Linked DNA regions of Notamacropus eugenii. The protein of the gene in region 2 interacts with the protein of the main gene of each other region in a pairwise test. Links are inferred from orthologs where the notes say so. Each region holds a gene or a part of one and is shown on either strand. Other genes may lie near its edges. The genes, in order: PTPN21 and BMX.

Region 1 (10,727 bases), on a different chromosome or scaffold from region 2:
GGTCTCAGATACCTAGGCTGAAGTAGCTGGGTGGTCTAGCTAGACCTTATTCGAATCCTGACTTAAATGCTTGCTAGCTCAGTCTCGGTTTCCTCATGTGTAAAACTGGTTATAACTGCAGCACCTACCTCACAAATTTGGTTGAGTTCAATTCAATAAACATTCATTAAGCGCCTGCTACGTGCCAGACACTGTGCTAAGCGCTGAGGATACAAAAAGAGACAAAAGACAGTCCCTACCTTCAAAGATCTTACAATCGAATGGTAAAGAAACAAACAAGAAAGTATATACAAAGAAAGCTACATAAAAGATAAATAGGAAATACTTAACAGAGGTTAAGGCACCAGAATTAAGGAGGGGTTGGGAAAGGCTTCCTGTAAAAGATGGGATTTTAGTTGGGATTTAAAGGAAACCAAGGAGGTCAGTAGTCAAAGTGGAGGAGGAAGAACATTCTTGACATTGAGAATACCCAAAATGAATGCCTAGTGTGGAGAGATGCAATTGGTGTACGAATCAAAGGAGAATTTATGTAAAGTCCTTTCTTTATGAACCCTGAAACATTATATATAGATGATTATTATTAGGTTATGGATGGGGTGAAGAGAGAAGGAAAGAGGGAGAGGGCAGAAAAGTCTTGTCTTGATCAAATGACTTAATATACGTAAAGGATTTTGTAAACATTAAAGGGCAATATAATTGTCAACTAAGAATCCTTGGGGAGGTAACCCAATCTGGTATCCTACTGATACAAGACCTTGGGTAAATCACTTTCCCCCCTAGGTATTTGTTTCCTCTAATTGAAAATGGTACTAATGCTATACTTGTACTACATCCCTCAATGGATGGTTAACTGTTTAAACATTGTGGTTAAATAACTATAGATTTATTTAATTAAGGACACAACCAGTGGACACCAAGACTTTCATGTGATTTGGAATGTATACTCTAGTAGAGAGTAGAGTCTACACCATCCCTCAGAACAAGAGATCCAGAACCTCTATCCTTGAACTGGTCCAAAAAGGAGGAGTGGGGGTGGAGGTGAGGAAACTAAGAGGATGAAAGAAAAGGAAGGCAAAGAGGAAAATGGCACAGGTTCCCACCGATTACCAAATCTTTGCAATAATTAAGGAAGACCAAGTAAAAGGCACCATACAAGTGAGGAAATTTTAAAAATATGATAGAAAGTATGGACCCCACCTTGGAGAGGTTTACAATACAGCTTAACCTACTAGGTAAGAGAAATGGACCAAAGTAATATTAGTTCTTAAGCATATATTTTCCCCACTACTGACCAGTGAAGCTATATAGGTAACAATAAACTTGTAACTTGAAAACTACCAGGAAAACCAATGCTAAGGTCTATGCAGATGTGTAAGTCTCATGATAACTAAAGACAAGTATACTTATAAACCATAAAAATATAGGTTTCTAATACTTTAAAGTGCTTAGATAGTAATGCTATGTAAACTTTGGGGAGGGGGAGGAGGCAGATGCCAGCTTCTTTGATAAGAAGTTGGAGAGAAATAGCCTATCATACAGCTATAAAGGTAAGAGCTATTGAAAGGATGGAGATTGTCAATCTACAGCAAAAATCTTTTACAAGGTCTTACTCAGTATTTTTGTTAAATGTCTGGTTATAATTTTCTCAAAAAAGTTTCCATGATATCATTAAGTAATAAATTTAAATTTCAATATGAAAACTATGGAACAGTCCTTAAAAAACAAATAGACTGGGACAAGTAGTAGCAAAAGATGAAAAACAAGACATTTGTCTATATGAAGAGGGAATACAAATATTTGTATTCTGGGATGTTCCAGATATTGTGCTCTTTTCACTTCAAAGAAACAAATGACTAAGCCTTGAAGGCAACAGATACTATACTATATAACTTAATTATTAACTTTAGCATCAGATTAAGTAAATGGAGCAAAAATGGGGGGGGGGAGTAGGAGGAGGAGACACTCAAAAGTTTGAAGAGTTTTTTTTTACAACCTCACTAATAATAAAAATAAATATTTTTCATCTATTGTATTTTTTTAGCATGAAAACAATATTTTCTTAAACTAGGTATAATTTCCCCTCAGAGCTAACCACTGTTAAAAGTGTCTTAGGGATGGGGGGGGAATGAGGAGAGTGTTTGCTGGGAGGAAATCTTTTATAAGAAAAGAACAGACTCTGTTTTAAAAATGATGCTCTACTTAACCCAAAGCTTATGTCCTTGTTTTGTAATGCATATTGTACATAGGGTTTAAGAAACTTTATATGGTTAAGGACTCTAATAAAACCAAGTTGAGTAGACTCTGAGAGCAACTTTTGTCTATTTTAGGAATAACTTGAGATGTTTTTCTCAATATGCCATAAGTAAATTTTTAAAAGACTCATGATATTTGTTGATCTAGTTAAACACTCTGTTGACCAAAGTTTTCATATTATTTACAGACAGTTGCTTTGGGATGATTCACAGGTGATATCTATAATGGATACTTACTTATTTCTACACTAAAATTTTAAAACTGAAAGGTTTGAGCATTAAAGAAGACAAAATGCATAGAAAAAGTAATAAACGTTTCATTTCATAGAAACTCTTAAGCCCAGGTAGATCTGCTTCTGTAAGGAGGATATTTTAGTTCTTTGATTATTCCCAACAATCACAAAGTTTCTTGAAATATAACTGTTTATTTTGTGAAGCTTTTCCTTATTAAGGCTTCATCTCATTTAAAATTTGCAATAAGTACCTGAAAATAAGCAGCAATTAAAGTGTTATCTATCAGTAAGAAGGCAACAACATTTATTAACTCCACTGCTTTGAACTGTAACCTGTTTCCTATAAGACAAAAATATCCATACAAGCAAATGCAAAAACTTCAGAATAAATTTCCTTGCTTGCACTATGTTTACTGTTGTCCAAATACAACTGTTATATCCGAAATTAAAAGCTGTTTTTTTTTTAATCTAGCAGCTGTCATTTAGTGTTAGGCTAACAGCCGGTGTCATTTTGATCACATGGAATTTTTTTTAAATGTGCACACACACGCACACATGCACTATTATAAGGCGTTATCAGCAAAAAGAAAATGGAACCAGCATGCCAAAAGTATCTAATCAGTATCCGCCGAAATCACAAGTCTGAATTTAGCAAACCTAGGAATTTCTCTCCCCACAGTAACCACACTCCCCTTAAGCAAAATAAAACAAAAACTCCTCCTCCTCTCTCTCCCCTACTGAAAGTTTTTATTTGCCAAACTCAACAAGTATGCACCATTTTAGCAGACTGAAATGTAGCCAGAATTAACTACCTGGTTTGGAATTAGACCCTAAAAAGATAAACTGAATCAAAATACAAGCGAAAGTGCTCTCTTCATAAAATTTAATAGACAAGTCAGTGGAGTGGAGCATGAAAACGAAGAATTTCTTAGTGAAACGTTATCTCTTCGAGAATAGCGATTTCCAGGACTAATAAAATGTACACAGAAGAAACCTACTCACGAGAGAAAATGCCACTAAGTTACACAGTCTGCCTCTCAGGAACTGAGAGGAAACTGTATCAAACAAAAAGAGCCCGGGGAGGCTCCTGTGGTCTCCTCTTGTCCATTACTTACTTACTTACTTACTTACCTGTTGCAGTGATCCAGCTGAAGAGGTTCTGAGGTCACGCATCCTCAGCTACAAAACGCAAACAGTTCGGGTTCTCCCCTGGAAGACATCTCTCACCGGTCTTCCTTCACAAGGGTCTCAGTGCGTCCCCTGGGTCGAGAAGGGCATGCCAGGCTCCCCTCCAACTCAGTCATACTGAAAACATTCCTCACTTCCTGTCTCAGAAAACTTGGTCTGTGTATCATTCCACTAGGTAAGGACTCGCAGGAGGGCGGGCGGCCACCGAGCGCTCGAGGGAGCTCCTGCAGGCGAGCGATCGAGAGGGGGGTGGGGGGAGCTCCTGCGGGCGAGTGATCGGAGGGAGCCGGGCTTGTGCGAGAGCCGGGGTCCGCGAGCAGGGCTACACAAAGGCACCCCGGTCGGTGAACTTGGCAATCATCTCCCGGCTCCAAGCAGGACAGAAGGGGGTCTCTTGTGGAGGAGAAACGAAGTTGTAGGATCTTGAGGCTCCTTTTCTTTGCTCCTATCCGATCGGACTCTCGCTGGGTAGTGAAGGTGCAAGTGCCCTGGGAGGCGTTACTTGTTCCATCCACGCGGACGGATACGGAGAGAGGGAGCGAAGAGCCCGTATGCTTGCAGTCCATGACCTCAGAGAGTTGGAATGTCAGGGCCGGGGAATGTCAGCGGCGGGACAGCTGCCGCGCCTGCTGTGGGGGCATTACAGAAATAGGGGGTTACAACGAATCGTTTCCTTTTTTAATCATATGACCACTTATTTTAAGGCTTCCCAAATGAAGCAGGACTTTTTATAAAATACAATGGGGATATTATTTCTGTGGCAAATAGTTAGATCTTTTGGACTGTGTAAAATGCTATCACCAATTTGCTGTAATAATTTGCTACTTATTTTTCTATATGGCTACTTTTATAATTACTTCTTGAGAAAGCTATGACTCTCCTGAAATCGGATACTAAGTTACTTTCTTTTTTTACGCTCTCAGGACTACCAGATATGACTGCCCAAAAAAGACATTCTCCAATTCGAGAATTTTGTAATACTTATTTAAAGAAAATATTTCATATAATATATGCATATAGAGTCTATTGAAAGAAAACTCAATTATTTGTATAACAGACTATCACGATAATCTTCCATCTCTGCTTTTTAAAACAAAGAGAGAATGGTTCTGGAAAATGAGAGAATTAATAGTTTAATGTAAGCTAATTTTGACTTAAGTTATTTTTAAATCTCTATCAGTTCAGAAAAAACTTTTTTTTAATCACAGCATGGTTTTATAAAGGAAAGTTAGCCTAAATTGAGTAAACTCATTCTTTCCAGGGGACATCAAGGTTAATTTGTATGTTTGGAAGAAGAGTCCTATGGAGGTCTCTTCCATATGACTTTGAAGCCAGAAAGTGCTTTTCAAACTTAAAGTACTGTATAAATATTAAATATCATCATTGTCATCATAATTATCTTTCATTCTTCCTTCTTTTCCCCTATATCTAATCAGTTTTCATACCCTGACATCTCTTCTTTTGATTTGTTGTTTATTTATTTGTTTTAAATTCCACCTTCTCTGTATCCACTCCAAGATCCTTAACATCATCACAATTGCATTATGTTTACTGAATTATTGCAAATCTCCAAGCTAATTTCCCTTCCTTCAGTTCCCCTCTCTGTTCCTTCCTCCCCCCAAGTCAATGCTGCATATTGGTGGCTAGGTAATCTTCCTAAAATATTGTTTTCATAATGTCACTCCTTTGCTCCCTTGTTCCCTCGGGAGACATCAGATCACTACTACCATTCCTGGAAAGTTCAAGTCAATCAATTGCCCTATAGCTCTATTTAACATCTAAGTGACTTCTCAATCCCAAACACCTCTTTCCCTAACTACAGTTAGGCTATATGTATATAGTCTTCCGTTATCAGAATGTAAAATCCTTAAGGACAGGCACTCTTTCTGTTTGTATTTGTATCTCAAGGTTTCAACACCTTGCCCTGAGCAAAATAAGCCCTAATAAATGCTTTTTCATTTCTTTCTTTCTTTCATTATTAAAGAACCTATAACTCATTGCTTTGGCAATTTGAAACCTCTTCATGCCTTCTCAGAATAATGTTTTTAAGGATGTAAAATAAAATATTCAGGATTATGAAGAAAGCAAATTCTGTTGAAATAAAGATACTTTTTTCCCCAATAGAACTTCATTAGATTTCCTGAAATCTAAAGATCCTTGCTATAACAGATTCCCTCTCTCTTACCTGACTTTTGGGACCCTCTGTAATCCGGCCGAAATCTACCTATTCAATCTTATTTCTACTGCTTGGTGTGGTACAGAAGATACATTACTAAATTTGGAGCCAGAGGGCTTGAGTTCAGACTGTAACTCTGTATGACCAAGGGATAAAACACAACTGCTCCAGACCTCAGTCATTTACATCCTGAAGACTGTGCTGCTTCCAATTCTAAATCTATGATCCATTTCTCCCAATATACTTTTTGCTCCAGTAAAAGGTCTCTCCAGGTCTCTTGTAATATACAAGTTTTAGTTACACTTTTTTGTGTTTGCTCACTTTGCTTTCTCTACCTAAAATTATTCACACAGATATGTCATGGAGGACTTCTGAAGCAATCATTTGCGTACGTAACTGATGCATTCCAAAAGTGGAAGAAACTGGGAACTCTGCTTTTGGAGAAACAACATGATGCATAATGGAAATGCCTTGCTCCTAAATTGGAACATGTGCAAATATTTTGTAATTGGTTCTGGTCTGGTAACCACATGTTGAAGAGAAAGATTTTGATTGCTGTGTAGCCAGAAGTGGGGTGGGGACCTTCAATAGGTAATAGTCTACCAGTCAGTCGTTTTTGGTCTGACTCTTTGCTACATGGCTATATTCAGGTGAGAGAAGACAGTAGTGTTGTAAAGGGAAAGGTCTGAGGCCCTGCACATCTAAGACTAAGTGTGCTGTGAGTATGGGCTTCAGCTCTTTGCCTTTGTATTTATTTTTCTGCTTCTCAATTAAGGAGACTAGACATAGCTACTACCTAATGAGCTTCAAAAAATCTGAAGAGTGAGCCACTAGAAAGGAGGTCCTAGAATGGAGCATATGATGCATCTGGAGTCTAGATTCTAGACAGTTCAAGACCAAAGCTCCCCTGAATGGGTAAAGGAACAATCTTTAGGAATTAGTCCAGTACAAGCTAAAACAAAGACAGCCAGTATTAATGCTGTATTGGGATATAAATTTGGTGGGACCTACACTATTAAAAAACCACTGTATGGTCATTTTGCATGATTACACACATATTAACTATATTGGATTACTTACTATCTCAGGGAGCAGGAAGGAAGGGATAGAAATTGTAACTCAAAACTTTTTTAAAATGTTAAAATTGGAGGGAAATAAAATGTATATAAAAACACTTGTTGACAGGTTAAAAAAAATAAAACTTACTGGAAAAAACACTGCACTGTCTGAGTCATTCCCCTCAGAGACAAAAGGTGTGACTCCCACTAAAAGTTGGAAGGGGTAGATGTTTGTACTTCTGTTCTTGCTATATCTGCAAAATAATTGTCACTTAGAAACCTATTGATGTGGAAACTGTGGTGTTAATGACTGGCAATTTATAATGGAATGAGGAGTGGGGGATTGAGCTAATAACATTAGAAAAAATGCCTTCAGTCTTCCAGGAGAACACCCTAGAAACTCGAAAGGGAGAAGTATATATATATATATATATATATATATATATATATATATATATATATATATATATATATATATATATATATATATATATATATATATATATATATATATATATACATATATATATATATATATACACATGCACACACACATATTATATGTATGCATGTCTGTGTCTGTATGTGTGTCTATAGCCTAATAGCTTGGGGAGCACAAGTACTCTGAGAGAGTAGGATTTGGAATGAGATTTCTCAGAACTTATATGTATGGGCTACGTACGTAGTACACTAAAATTCTTAACCTACAAGGGAGGTTGTACAAATATTATTGACCTTTTTGTAGATAAGGAAATTGATTATCTGAGAGATTATAACATTTTCCTATGTTCACTCAGTTAGTAAATGTACTAACCTGGATGGAAACCTCAAGTGTCTTGAATCTGAGTTGAACACTTTTCCAGCTGTACCAGACTGTATTCCTTCCATTTTCACAAATCCTACTCTTCAAGGTCTGGCTTTCCTTGAATCTAAAGTCAATATAACATTTTGGTCAGTCATTTCAGTCATGTCTGACTCTTCATGTTCCTATTTTGGGGCTTTGTTGGCAAAGCTACTGAAGTGTTTTGCCATTTCCTTCTCTAGCTCATTTTACAGATGAGGAAACTGAGGCAAACAGGGTTAAGTGACTTGCCCATGGTCACATAGCTAGTAAATGTCTGAAGCCGGATTTGAATTCAAGAAGATGAGTCTTTTTGACTCCAGGCTGGACACTCCTCTATTCACTATGTCATCTAGTTACCTCCAATACAACATAGTTTCACATTTAATTGTTCTCTAATTTATACTATTTTTGTCTGCCAAGTTAGATTGTAAGCTGCTTAAGTGCTTATTTCATTTGTATCTATAGTCAGCACACAAGCCCAGGAGTCAAGAGATAGGAGTTTGAGTTCCTCTTTACAATTAAATGTCTTTGTGATTGTGGGGAAGTTATTTAATGTCCATGAAACTCAGGTACCCTAGCTCCAAAATAAGAGAAGTTAAATTAGATAATAACAAAAGATCCTCCCAGTCCTTTTAATAACTCAGTCATAACAAAGATGATTGAAAAGGTAAATGAAAAACAACATGATCTAGTTGAAAGAGCACCTGATTTGGAGTCAGAAAACCTGGTTCTGTTATTTACAACCTGAGTAATCTTGAGCAGGTTGCCTAACTCATCTGTGCCTCAGTTTCCTCAACTATATAATAATGGATCTTTACTCCTGTATCTCTAAATCTTGTGATCCTAATTATGGTCATAAATACCCTTGTAACTCTTGTAATCTTATGACAGATGTGCCCAGCCCAAAAAAAAGGTGGAATTTTGTTTCGTTTTTAAAATGTGTATTTCTAAAAGAAAGTTGATTGTTGAATTTTTTTAAAAGTTGTTAGGTTTGGGGGGTTTTTTTCGTTGATGAGTAAAAATAATATCCTTTATGACCAAATATTCATAAAAACAATTATTAAAATAAGTTCCTTAGGTGCATATCCTAGTGTACTGTGTAGGTCTATGCCCCTAATATGTACTTGACAACAGAGTTGTAATAGGAACAATATTCTCACCCCTCTTCCATGAAGGTTAGATTCATTTTCCCTTAAAAGTTAATACTTTTCTTTAATAGCTTTTTCTTTTTAATAGCTTTCCTCAAGAGTTGGTTTGCTCAAGGTACTAAAGGCTCCAACTGTTGACCTAAGTACAAAGCAGCCATGAGGAACTCTAGGGATTCTCTGACACTTGACCGGTGGATCTCAGTGGGTAACTTGGGATAGGGAAATTGGTTCAGGTGAATCAAGCAGAGATGTCCCCAATTCCTATCTTTGGTAAATATTCTTCTCTTTTTTAAAAAAATTTATTTATTTAACTTTTAACATTCATTTTCACAAAATTTTGGGTTCCAAATTTTCTCCCCATTTGTCCCCTCCCCACCCCAAAACACTGAGCATTCTAATTGCCCCTATCACCAATCTGCCATCTCTTCTATCATCCCTCCCTTCCCTTGTCCCCATCTTCTTTTTTGTCCTGTAGGGCCAGATAACTTTCTGTACCCCATTACCTGTATTTCTTATTTCCTGGTAGCAAGAACAGTACTTGACAGTTGTTCCTAAAACGTTGAGTTCCAACTTCTCTTCATCCCTCCCTCCCCATCCATTCCGTTTGGGAAGGCAAGCAATTCAATATAGGCCATATCTGTGTAGTTTTGCAAATGACTTCCATAATAGTCATGTTGCGTAAGACCAACTATATTTCCCTCCATCCTATCCTGCCCCCCATTGCTTCTATTCTCTCTTTGGATCCTGTCCCTCCCCAAGTGTTGACTTCAAATTGCTCCCTCCTCCCACTGCCCTCCCTTCCATCATCCCCCCCACCCTGCTTGTCCCCTTCACCCCCACTTTCCTGTATTGTAACATAGGTTTTCATACCAAAATGAGTGTGCATTTTATTCCTTCCTTTAGTCGAATGTGATGAGAGTAAACTTCATGTTTTTCTCTCACCTTCCCTCTTTTTCCCTCCACTAAAAAGTCTTTTGCTTACCTCTTTTATGAGAGATAATTTGCCCCATTCCATTTCTCCCTTTCTCCTCCCAATATATTTCTCTCTCACCCCTTAATTTCATTTTTTTAAGATATGATCCCATCCTGTTCAATTCACTCTGTGCTCTCTGTCTCTGTGTGTGTGTGTGTGCGTGTGTGTGTGTGTGTGTGTGTGTGTGTGTGTGTGTATAATCCCACCCAGTACCCAGATACTGAAAAGTTTCAAGAGTTACAAATATTGTCTTTCCATATAGGAATGTAATCAGTTCAACTTTAGTAAGTCCCTTATGACTTCTCTTTGCTGTTACCTTTTCATGCTTCTCTTCATTCTTGTGTTTGAAAGTCAAATTTTCTTTTCAACTCTGGTCTTTTCATCAAGAATGCTTGAAAGTCCTCTGTTTCATTGAAAGACCATTTTTTCCCCTGAAGTATTATAGTCAGTTTTGCTGTGTAGGTGATTCTTGGTTTTAGTCCTAGTTCCTTTGACTTCTGGAATATGATATTCCCTGCCCTTTGATCCCTTAATGTAGAAGCTGCTAGATCTTGTGTTATCCTGATTGTATTTCCACAATACTTGAATTGTTTCTTTCTAGCTGCTTGCAATATTTTCTCCTTGACCAGGGAACTCTGGAATTTGGCCACAATGTTCCTAGGAGTTTCTCTTTTTGGATCTCTTTCAGGCGGTGATCTGTGGATTCCCTGAATACTTATTTTGCCCTCTGGTTCTAGAATCTCAGGGCAGTTTTCCTTGATAATTTCATGAAAGATGATGTCTAGGCTCTTTTTTTGATCAAGGCTTTCAGGTAGTCCCATAATTTTTAAATTGTCTCTCCTGGATCTATTTTCC
Region 2 (10,455 bases):
AAGACCTTACTCTTCACAAAAGTCTCATGAATTAGGCTGATGCCAGTATTTTATATTATTGTAATATATGTGTTACAAATTAAATTCAAAATAGATACATCTTTAGTTTTACAGATCATAACACTGAAAAAATATTAAAAGAAAAACAGATCATGTACCTCCCACAGCTCTTGGTAAAAGATACATTCTTACCCAAACAAGGGATAGAGGCAATTACAAAAGATAAAATGGATAACTTTGATTACATAAAACTGATAAATTTTTCTACAAACGCAATGTATCCAGGATAAGAATGGAATTTTTAAAAAATCCATGTATCAGATTTCTCAGACAAGACTTTGGAATCCAAAACAAGCCTTTCTCCAAGATAAGTGGTCAAAGGATATGAGTAAATGGTTCTCAAAAGTACTGCAAACTATTAACAACTACATGAACTAATGATCCAAATCATTAACAATAAGAGAAATGAAAAATGAAAACAACCCTAAGGTTTCACTGGACTCTGCAAAGGGCAGAAATGACAGAAGATGAGCATACTCAGTGTTGGTAGGGTTGTAAGGAGACTGGCACATTAGGCAGCTAGAGGCAATAAATAGACCTCTGGACCAGGACTCAAGAAAAACTGAATTAAAACCCAGCCTCAGATACTTCCTACATATGTGATTCTGGGCAAGTTACTTTCCTCAACTATAAAATGGGAATAATAAAAGCACTCACCTTTCTGACATAATAAGTCCTGTTGGTGATGGGCTAGAGGTTCAGAATTGCGTATACATTTTTAGATAAGAGAAGTTTTTTTTTAATTAAAACAAATTGTTAAAAGATCTATTAGACAGTGGATGGATATTGGTAAATAATGATGTTAATGTGAAAAAAGGAGAAAAGAAACAAACATCAATAAAATATTTTTAAAATACAAAGAAGAGAATAGGAGGAAGTTCAGAAGGTGACAGACAAACAGAACAGTTTTGTTACTATAGAGTTAAATACATGTAAACATACAAATATATACACATGTGTGTATGTATATGTGTATGTATGCATGAATACATATGTATATGTAAGAGAAATTTGCAGCTTTCAGTCTTCTGTTCTTATTCATCAAAATACTGTTGTTGTATTTAGAATAAAAAATAAAACTTAACAACAGAAAAATTATTGGCCTTGGAAAAAGAATTGAAAAAACATACCTACCTCCCTTCTTTGTAGAGGTGGGGGACCATGGGTGTGGAATACTGAACATACTGTCAGGATTAGTGTGTTGGTTGGTTTTGCTGAACTGCTTTTTAAAAAAACTTTCTTTTTTGGTTTAATCTGCATTATTAATGCTTTTTCCTTTCCTGTCTTTTTTAAAGGGTTTTTTTTTATTAATTTACTTATTTTTAGTTTTTTAACATTCACTTCCACAAGATTTTGAGTTCCAAATTTTCTCCCCATCTCTCTCCTCCTCCCACCCCAAGATGGCATCCATTTTGATTACCCCTTCCCCCAAACTGCCCATCCCTTCTCTTATCCTCTTCCTCTCTATTTTCTTGTAGGGTAAGATAGATTTCTATATCCCACTGCCTGTATGTCTTATTTCCCAGTTTCATGTCAAAACAAATTTTAACATTCATTTTTAAAACTTTGAGTTCCATTTTCTCTCTTCCTCCCTCCCTACCCGCCTACAGTGAGAAGGCAGGCAATTTGATATAGATTATACATATGTAGTCTTGCAAAACACTTCTGTAATAGTCATGTTGTGAAAGACTAATTCCCTCCACCCTAACCCCTCTCCCCCATTTATTCTATTATCTCCTTTGACCCTGTCCCTCCTCAAAAGTGTTTGCTTCTGATTACCTCCTCCTCCCATTTGCTGTCCCTTCTATCATCCCTGCCCCCTTATTATCCTCTCCCCACCTATTTTCCTGTAGGGAAAGATAGATTTTTATACCCAATTCAGTGTGTGTGTTATTCCCTCCTTAAACCACATCTGATGAGAGTAAGGTTCACTCATTCCCTCTCACCTCTCCCCTCTTCTCCATTGTAAAAGCTTTCTCTGGCCTCTTTTATGTGAGATAATTTACCTCATTCTACCTCTCCCTTTCTCCTTCTCCCAATACATTCCTCTTTCACCCCTTATTTTTATTTTTTAGATATCATCCTTTCATATTCAACTCACCCTGTGCCCTCTGTCTATATGTATATAATCTCATTTCTCTTCCCAATTTTTCCTCTATTTCTCTTACTTGGTTTTCAAAATCCTTCTTGACCTCTTCCATCACCTGAGACCAATTCATATTTTTCTTGGAGGTTTTGGATGTAGGAGCTTTGAGTTTGTTGTGTTCTGGTTGTATGTTTTGATCTTCCTTGTCACCAAAGTAAAATTCTGTAGTCTGATTTTTTCCCTGCTCTTTGCTCATTTTCCCAGCAAATTACTTGACTTTTTTAGTTCTTTGTCAAGGTAGGACTCTACTTCCAATATTAGGGTGTACTCTCCCAAGCTTTAGGAGTTTTGTGCAGCTGTTTTCATAAACACTTCTAGGGACCTGTACATTTTCACCTCTTCCAAGGTGATATGATCAAAGGAGAGGTGTTTATTCCTCTCCTGGCCTGTTTTCTGGTCTGTGAGTGACCTCAAGCATTCTTTTCTGCCTTGGAACTGTGAGGAGGATTCTCTCTCCACTGCCACCACAAGCTCCACCATACAAGCACTTCTCCTCACCCCAGGACTGCCCCTCAGGACTATGACCCAGATCCAGGCATGGGCAAAGCAAGAGAATCCTGCCTCAGCACAAGCAAAGAGATTCCTGCAATTCTGCTCTGATCAGTTGCTCTATCCCCCCACCATCTGTGGGCCAAGAATTGTGGATGCAGCCATTGCTGCTGCTGCTGCAGACCACCACCACCTTGTGTGGTGGGCCAGATTGCATTCCTCTTTCTCCCAGCTCTGATAGATTTCTCCTACTGACTTTCTAAGTTGTCTTTGGTGTTTTTGGGTTGAGAAGTCTGGAAACTGCCACAGCTGCAAGTGATTCAGTGTCCTAAGCCCTGTTCTGGTCTTGTCTGGGTCGCATAGCTCATGCTAGACTGTATTCTTCTCTCAGATTGGTGCAACAGACCTTTCGTTTTGACCTTCCAGGTTGTCATGGACTGGAAATTTGTTTCTCTCTGTGATTTTATGGGTTCTGCTGCTCTGGAATTTATTTAGAGTCATTTTTACAGGTCTTTGGAGGAGTCTGGGGGAGAGCTCAAGCAAGTCCCTGCTTTTACTCCACCATCTTGACTCTACCCCCAAAATAGCTTTCTTCTTTATTCTTTGTGACAAGAGATGGTTTGCAAGGTAGAGTGTCAGAAACAATATATTTTGAAATAAAGATGAGGCAAAAATAAGTGGTATTAATAAAACACTAAAAAATAAAGATAACTTCAGTACAACACAATACAATATTGTAGTACAGTGGTTAGAGTGCCAGTACTGGCACCAGAAGTCTTGAGTTTGAATCTGGCCTCAGACATTGAGCTGTGTAACTGGGCAAGTCACTTAACCTCTGTCTACCTTAGTTTTCCCATCTGTAAAGCAAGAATCATAATTTATCTGCCTTGCAGGCTCGTTGCTAGGATCAAATGAGATAATAATTGCAAAATGTTTAGCACAGTGCCTGCCACAGAGTAAGTGCTATATAAAGGCTACCTGCTATTATTATTGTTGTTGTTAATAGATGGGTAAAATTCCTACTCATTCTTAAAGTCTTTTTTTTTTTCAGTTGTCTCTGACTCTTTGTGAACCTCATTTGGGTTTTCCTTGGCAAGGATACTTGAGTAATTTGTCATTTCCTTCTCCAGTTCATTTTCCAGATGAGGAACTGAGGCAAACAGGGTTAAGTGACTTGCCAGGGGTCACACTGCTAGTAAGTGTCTGAGGCCAGATTTGAACTCAGGAAGAGGAATTTTCCTAAATCTAGGTCCAGTGCCCTATACACTGTGCCACGTAGCTGCCTACTCTTTTTTTTTAAATTTAGTATTTTATTTTTCCCCAGTTACATGTAAAAACAATTTTTAACTTTTGTTATTAAAACAAATTATCTCCCTTCCTCCCTTGCCCCCCATTGAAAAGGCAAGTAGATCTAAGTTATACATGTGTAGTCATGCAAATCATACTCATAATAGTCATATTGTGAAAGAAAACATAGACAAAAAAACTCAAGAAAAATAAAGCTAAAAAAGTATTCTTCAGTCTGTATTCAGACATTATCAGTTCTTTATCTAGGGGTAGATAGCGTTCTTCATCCTAAGTCTTTCAGACATGTCTTGGATTGCTGGATTGCTGAGAATAGCTAAGCCACTCACAGTTGATCATTTCACAATATTGCTGTTACTTTGTACAGAGTACATTTCACTTTGTATCAGCCATTCCAGTCGTTCTAGGCTTTTTGGAGAGCATCTTACTCATCATGTCTTATAGTACAATAGTATTCCATCATAATCACATACCACAACTTGTTCAGCCATTCCCTAATTGACGGGTATCCCCTCAGGTTCTACTTCTTAGCTGCCCTACTCTTGAAAGACTGCTTCAAATGTCATTTCACTTATGAGAGCCTTACTGATCCTCTCTGAACAGTAATGACTCGCTTCCCCACAGCACTCCCCACCCAGTCAAAGACGTGACTTGGGTTTAGACCTATAAGGCACCGTAGAGATTGGTTAGTCTAAACCCCTGGTTTTACAACTGAGAACACAGAAGTTACATGACTTGCCCAAAGTCACACAGGTAGTAAGTAGCAATCCAGGATTCCACTGACTCCAAATCTGGGGCTCTTGCCACTATACCAATTATATATGATGTAATATTTGGTAAATACATATTTATAAATTTTACATATATATAAATTACATATATAGAGGAAAATATTACATATATAAAAATATTACATATATATTTACTAGAAAAGGTAATGCTGCTTACCATCTAGAAGGTAGATATGACGTATATATGTATATATATATACACACACACACATAAATGTATGCTATATAAATACGTTATAGAAACAAACATAAGCAATGTGTATATGCTGTATAAATAAATATAGATATATGTACGTGTATACATGTATGTAAGCACTTACACATGCATATTGTATATTATCCCACCACACATAAACATTTATATATATTATACGCATTTATATATTATATATACATGTATGTCATATCTGTGTTCTAGATGTTAAGCAGCAGCTTTGCCTTTTCTAAATTTTCTTTCTCCTCCAGCACCAAGCACAGTTTAGTGCTTGATATATTCGTGTGGATTCTAATTGAATCAAATTATCCCAAATATGGATTGGAATCTAGAGTTGAGTCAACAGTGACATTTGGAACTTTTGCCTCCCAATGTAGTTCTGAAGCTACACTCTAGACTTGTTGGAATGAAAAGGATTAAGTAACTAGCCATTTAAAATAGTGTTACAACATGTGCCAAATGAATGATTTCTTTCCTTGGCTGCTCCCCCCTGTGCCCAAAAGGTGTTATGAGTAGTATCAGTGTGAGTGTTTTTACTTACGTCACCAAAACATTAGATTCTAAGACAACTATAGGCTGCATGATAATTACAGTGGTGAGAGATCTGACTTCTAAGTGACAACAACCTGGCTTCAAGACCCATCTGTTACAGGCACTGACTATGTGATTCTGAGCAAGTAACTCAGAGCCGCAGACAACTCCCTAAGACTATAAGTTACAGAGACTGTTTAGTAGAGGAAGTTCCTACACTGATGACATTACAGCTCTAGTCAGAAAACAAACTCGAAAAGAAATTATAAGATGAGCAAAGAAAAGTTGTAACAATGACATGATTCCATGATAAGAATGGTATGGTTACATGTTCCCCCAACCATTCATGGATATGCCCTATAATGTTGGTATACAACAAAAAACTAGAGAAAGGTATGTCCCCAGTTGTATTACTCAGTGCTCCAAACTATAGAAATATATTCCTTATGTGGGCAGCTAAGTGGCATAGTGGATAGAGTGCTGAGCCTGGTCAGGAAGACTCATCTTTCTGAGTTCCAATCTGACCTCAGACACTTCCTGGCTGTATGACCCTGGGCAAGTCACTTAACCCTATTTGCCACAGTTTCTTCATCTGTAAAATGATATCAAAAAATATCAAACCATTCCAGTACCTTTGCCAAGAAAACCACAAATAGGGTTATGAAAAGTGGAACACCACTGAAAACAACTGAACTGAATAACAACAAATGTCTTTAATCTGTCTACTCTACTTTATCTGTCCAAGTCTTGAGTTAACACTTACTGCTTATTCTCTGAGCTCTTTGGTCTTACCTAACTGCTTCCTGACTTGTATGTCAATGTCAGAAAGGGAGTTTTTGCCTAGATATTTTATTGTTCTTTTCATAAAAATGCTACATAAACAAAGGCAAGGCTGTTGAACTTTATTCAGTCATTCTACTCCCTCCCCAAACAGCCCTGTTACCTCTCTAAATTTAAATCTTTATAAAATGTGCTTTTACTTCTATTTTTGTTGAGTTCAATCAAATCAGCAAGCATTGGCCAAGTGTTGAGTGTGGTTTCCTGTAGGATTGTGTAAAGTCCTGCAGAACAATATTCACTTGGGGTGACTGAGTAATGTGGTTATTTCAGGCCTCCCAGTCAAAGAAACATGAGGAAGCCAGCTGGGACACGACAAAGGTGATCACTGCTTGTTTTCTTTCAACAATTATTGGATTATTCTGATTGGAATGGATTCCAATAAAATGGAGCCATCAGAAATGGTATGTAGCAGAGGTTGGTGGCAATGAAGTGTCTTTTATACAGGAACTTGGTAGAGTTCAAATTCTGGCTCAAGAGAGAGGTCAGCTGATGCTTGTACTGGCCTGAATTAAGTTTAGTGATAAATAAGTTTGGGATTTGCATTCTCTTTTCTGTTTTGTTCTGCTGGTTGTTTTTATTTTCTTTCTCAAACATACACCTTCTAACAGCTTCTGAAAGAAAAATGTCTCCTTATTTTCCCAGTGCTTTTTGTTAGATTGCTAACTTCTATAAATTGGTGAGTGTTTTCTTTTCTTTTTTTTAATACTGACTTTCTCTGTATGTGTGTGGTTTGTTATTTGATTTGTTTAGGGATTTTTTTTCCTAACGTTTGTTTTTAGTGGGGAGGAGAAAGAGAAAGAGGACAGTGGTTATGAAAATGAACCAGTCACGTGGCACGGTACAGAGGAAAATCATTGACTCTGAAATCAGGAAAATTGGTTCTGAATCATTCCTTGGAATTTCTTTCCCTTCCAGGCCTCTGTTTAAAATTGGGGAACTTAAAGTTCTCCAATATTACTTACCCATTTATAGAATTTATGAAGCGAAAGCAGCTCTGTGACCAAATAGATATTGTTTTTTCCTCATTGGATGTCTCTAACTAGTGATAAAAATATTGCGTTCTTAAAGCATTGGCTTAGCTATGACTTGACTGTTCAAGAGGCTTTAGTGGTTCCTCACTGCCAACAAGAGCAAATACATGCTACCGTATTTGACATTTAAATCCCTTCAAATCTGATATTCCTAGGAAGTACAAGGAATTAAATTAAAGAAGGGATTTTCATGTTGTTGTGTGTAAACTTTGTAACATAAAATAAAACATGTAGGATAGCAAAACCAATTACATAACTGATTTCAGTCAGCAAAAGATTTATATTTTTAAAAACAAAATGGCAGACCCCAGGTGAAGAACCTTTGAAATTAAAGGCATTCATCCTGAGGTATTAAGTGGATCACCATCTTCTACTTTTCTCCTTGACAAGGAAGACCAAAAGTAAAATCCCTTGATATTTGGGGGGGAAGAAAAGGGAGCAGGAGAGGACAGTGGTTTTAAAAGAAGGAAAAGTCTCAAAAGGGGAAGTAAAGTTGCTGAACAGGAACTTCAAGTACATCCCAATTTTGCCCAGGCCCACTCTAATTACTATAAGAAAGGAATTGGGTTTTGCCTTTTATATAAGAAAACAGATCTCCAAAGTAGTTGGTTCTCTAATAATAATAGCTAGAATTTGTATAATTCTTTAAGGTTTGCAAAGCCTTATTCATACACTGGATTTTCACCACCTATCTATCAGATTTATCCATCTGATTTATCTATCTTTTATCTCTCTGATCTATCTGTCCATCTGATTTTATCCTTGTAACAATCATGTGAAGGTCATCTCCATTTTTCAGCTGAGGAAACTGAGGCAAACAAGTGATGTGTCCAGGGTCACACAGCTATTAGATATCTAAGTTTGAATTTGAGCTCAGGGCTTCCTGACTCCAAGTCTAGCCCTCTTACCCCTTGTACCACCTACCTACCTCAATAAGTTGATAAGCAGAGAGTTAATTCGGGGCCAGTTGTATCAAGTAGCAGGAGGTTGGGCTGAAAAGTTAATATCTGTCAATATCTCATTTTCTTACTCCCAGTGCCTCTGTGATCTCATCTATGGGGGTGCTTCCCACATCAGAGTGCATTCACATCTGTTCCTCCTATCCCCTTCTTGTACTTAGTCTCCTATGGATTCTACAGAATATATTCTGCCACCAAGCTGGAAGACTTGTTTTATCTAATGGTTTCTGGGTACCAGTTCAGTACTAGGACTGCCTATCTGTTGTCCTTTCTGATTGCTGCTGACTTTTTCAGTTTTATGCTTTACAAATGATGATTCTTGGACCATTTCTTATGGATAGGTTATTTCAGGAAATCGGTCTTTGACTACGTATGTTCCCCTGAACCCTCCCCCACAATGGTCTGAATCTTCCTTTGTGTCACCTGCATTGATGGGGTGAGGAGGGGGGTAGAGGAAACACCACATGTTTTCCTCAAGGCTGTCCAGTTACCTTTCTTTTTTTAAATTTTATTTTAGACTCAAATACCAGAACAAAAATATAGAATAGAGAAAAGAAACAAAAATATATCATAAACTTAAATATTGGAACTTAAACACAAAGTAAGAAAGGAGAGGAAAAACATGTCATCTACATAGCAGCACATAAGAGAGGATTCAAAATATGTGACAGTAATGCTTCCATTTATTCAATTCTGGCACCAGGCTATTGTCCATCTGCCGCACATTACATAAACACTTCTGTTATCTACATCTTTAGTACAATGTAGGCATTATGTCATTATCATGCCGAGCACAATTGTCGCTTTTCTCTCTAGTACCTGATAGCATCCAATAATAGAATGCAGTTAGGGAGGAAAAACATTAAGAATGCTTGCGACAGCTTCTTTGTAAAAAATAATAATAGTGTTTATTTATAGAATGCTTTAAGGTTTGCAAAGCACTTTACAATGATTATCTTATTTGATCCTTACAACCCTGAGAGGTGGGTGCTATTATTATCCCTATTTAAGAGGAATCTGAGGCGCATAGATTTCAGCTAGTAGGTGTCTGAGGTTATATTTGAATTCAGAACTTCTTCCTTACCGACGTGTTGTCTTCACTGAGTGGTCTGAAAGACAAGTATAATTTAGAGGAGAGGAGCTCTGAATTTAGAACAAAAGCCATAGCTAGCTATGGCTTTGCACCAGGGTGTTGAATTTAAAGGGTCCTGACATTCCTTGCATGCCTTCAGAAGCTAGAAAAACTGAAGTTAGCACCAACTTACCAAGAATAATTAATTAATATAGGAAACTGCTTCCTCGTGTGAACCCCAGATACTGTCCACCTTGGCTCAGACCTTCCTTGCTCTCCCCATCCTGCTTTCCCTGAGATCCCACAATATGTTCCTCATTTTCCTCAATCGTAAATTGAGGGGGTTTGAACAATGATACCATCCCATTCAAAAACCCTATTGAATATTTTTTTTTTTTTTGTAATTTTGTTTTGAGAGGCAGAGCGGATAAGGAATCAGCAAGATCCAAGTTCAAAGCTGGCGTTAGACACTTACTATCTGTGTGACCCTGGTCAAGTCACTTCACTTCTGTTGGCTTCAGTTTCCTCATCTGTGAAATGGGGATAATAATAGTAACTACCTCCCAGGGTTGTTTGTGAGAATCAAATGAATTAATTGTAAAATGCTTAGTGCAGTATCTGGCACACAGTAAGCTCATGTAAATAGCTATTTTCTCCTTTTTCCTTCCCCTTGTTTTGTTTGAATTCTCTATTTTATTTTTGTTCAGTCTTTTAGTCGTAAAATAGTAAGAAGAAATGGCCCATGGCAGAATTCTGAAGGAGGTAGATGTTGTGTTGTAGTGACCTCTACTTCCCATTTCAGTATTCTTTGCCCCACTTGCAGTATCTTCTGCCTTTCCTGGTTACAATAATGATCAGTGCTCAAAAGGCCTTTTTGTTCTTTTTTACCTTTTCTCTATTAAAACCTACTCTTAACCAACAGCCTCATTTTAAATGTGTAAATGACAGTTAATAGTTTAAAGAGTTATTCCTCTTAGGGATGTATGGATTTTAATCATTGAACAACTGCATGATTTT

Evidence for each region.
Region 1: the proteins of BMX (region 2) and PTPN21 interact in binary tests that used the Homo sapiens proteins (3 or more experiments, as listed by UniProt). The link is inferred for Notamacropus eugenii from reciprocal best matches to the Homo sapiens genes BMX and PTPN21.

The regions. Positions count from the first base shown.
Region 1 is NC_092878.1:76,509,939-76,520,665, forward strand, and holds the start of PTPN21 (tyrosine-protein phosphatase non-receptor type 21), read right to left. Parts: upstream 4,191-10,727; 5' UTR 3,617-4,190; intron 1-3,616.
Region 2 is NC_092876.1:374,583,595-374,594,049, reverse strand, and holds the start of BMX (cytoplasmic tyrosine-protein kinase BMX), read left to right. Parts: upstream 1-6,648; 5' UTR 6,649-6,744; coding exon 6,745-6,777; intron 6,778-10,455. UniProt on the Homo sapiens protein: Non-receptor tyrosine kinase that plays central but diverse modulatory roles in various signaling processes involved in the regulation of actin reorganization, cell migration, cell proliferation and survival, cell adhesion, and apoptosis.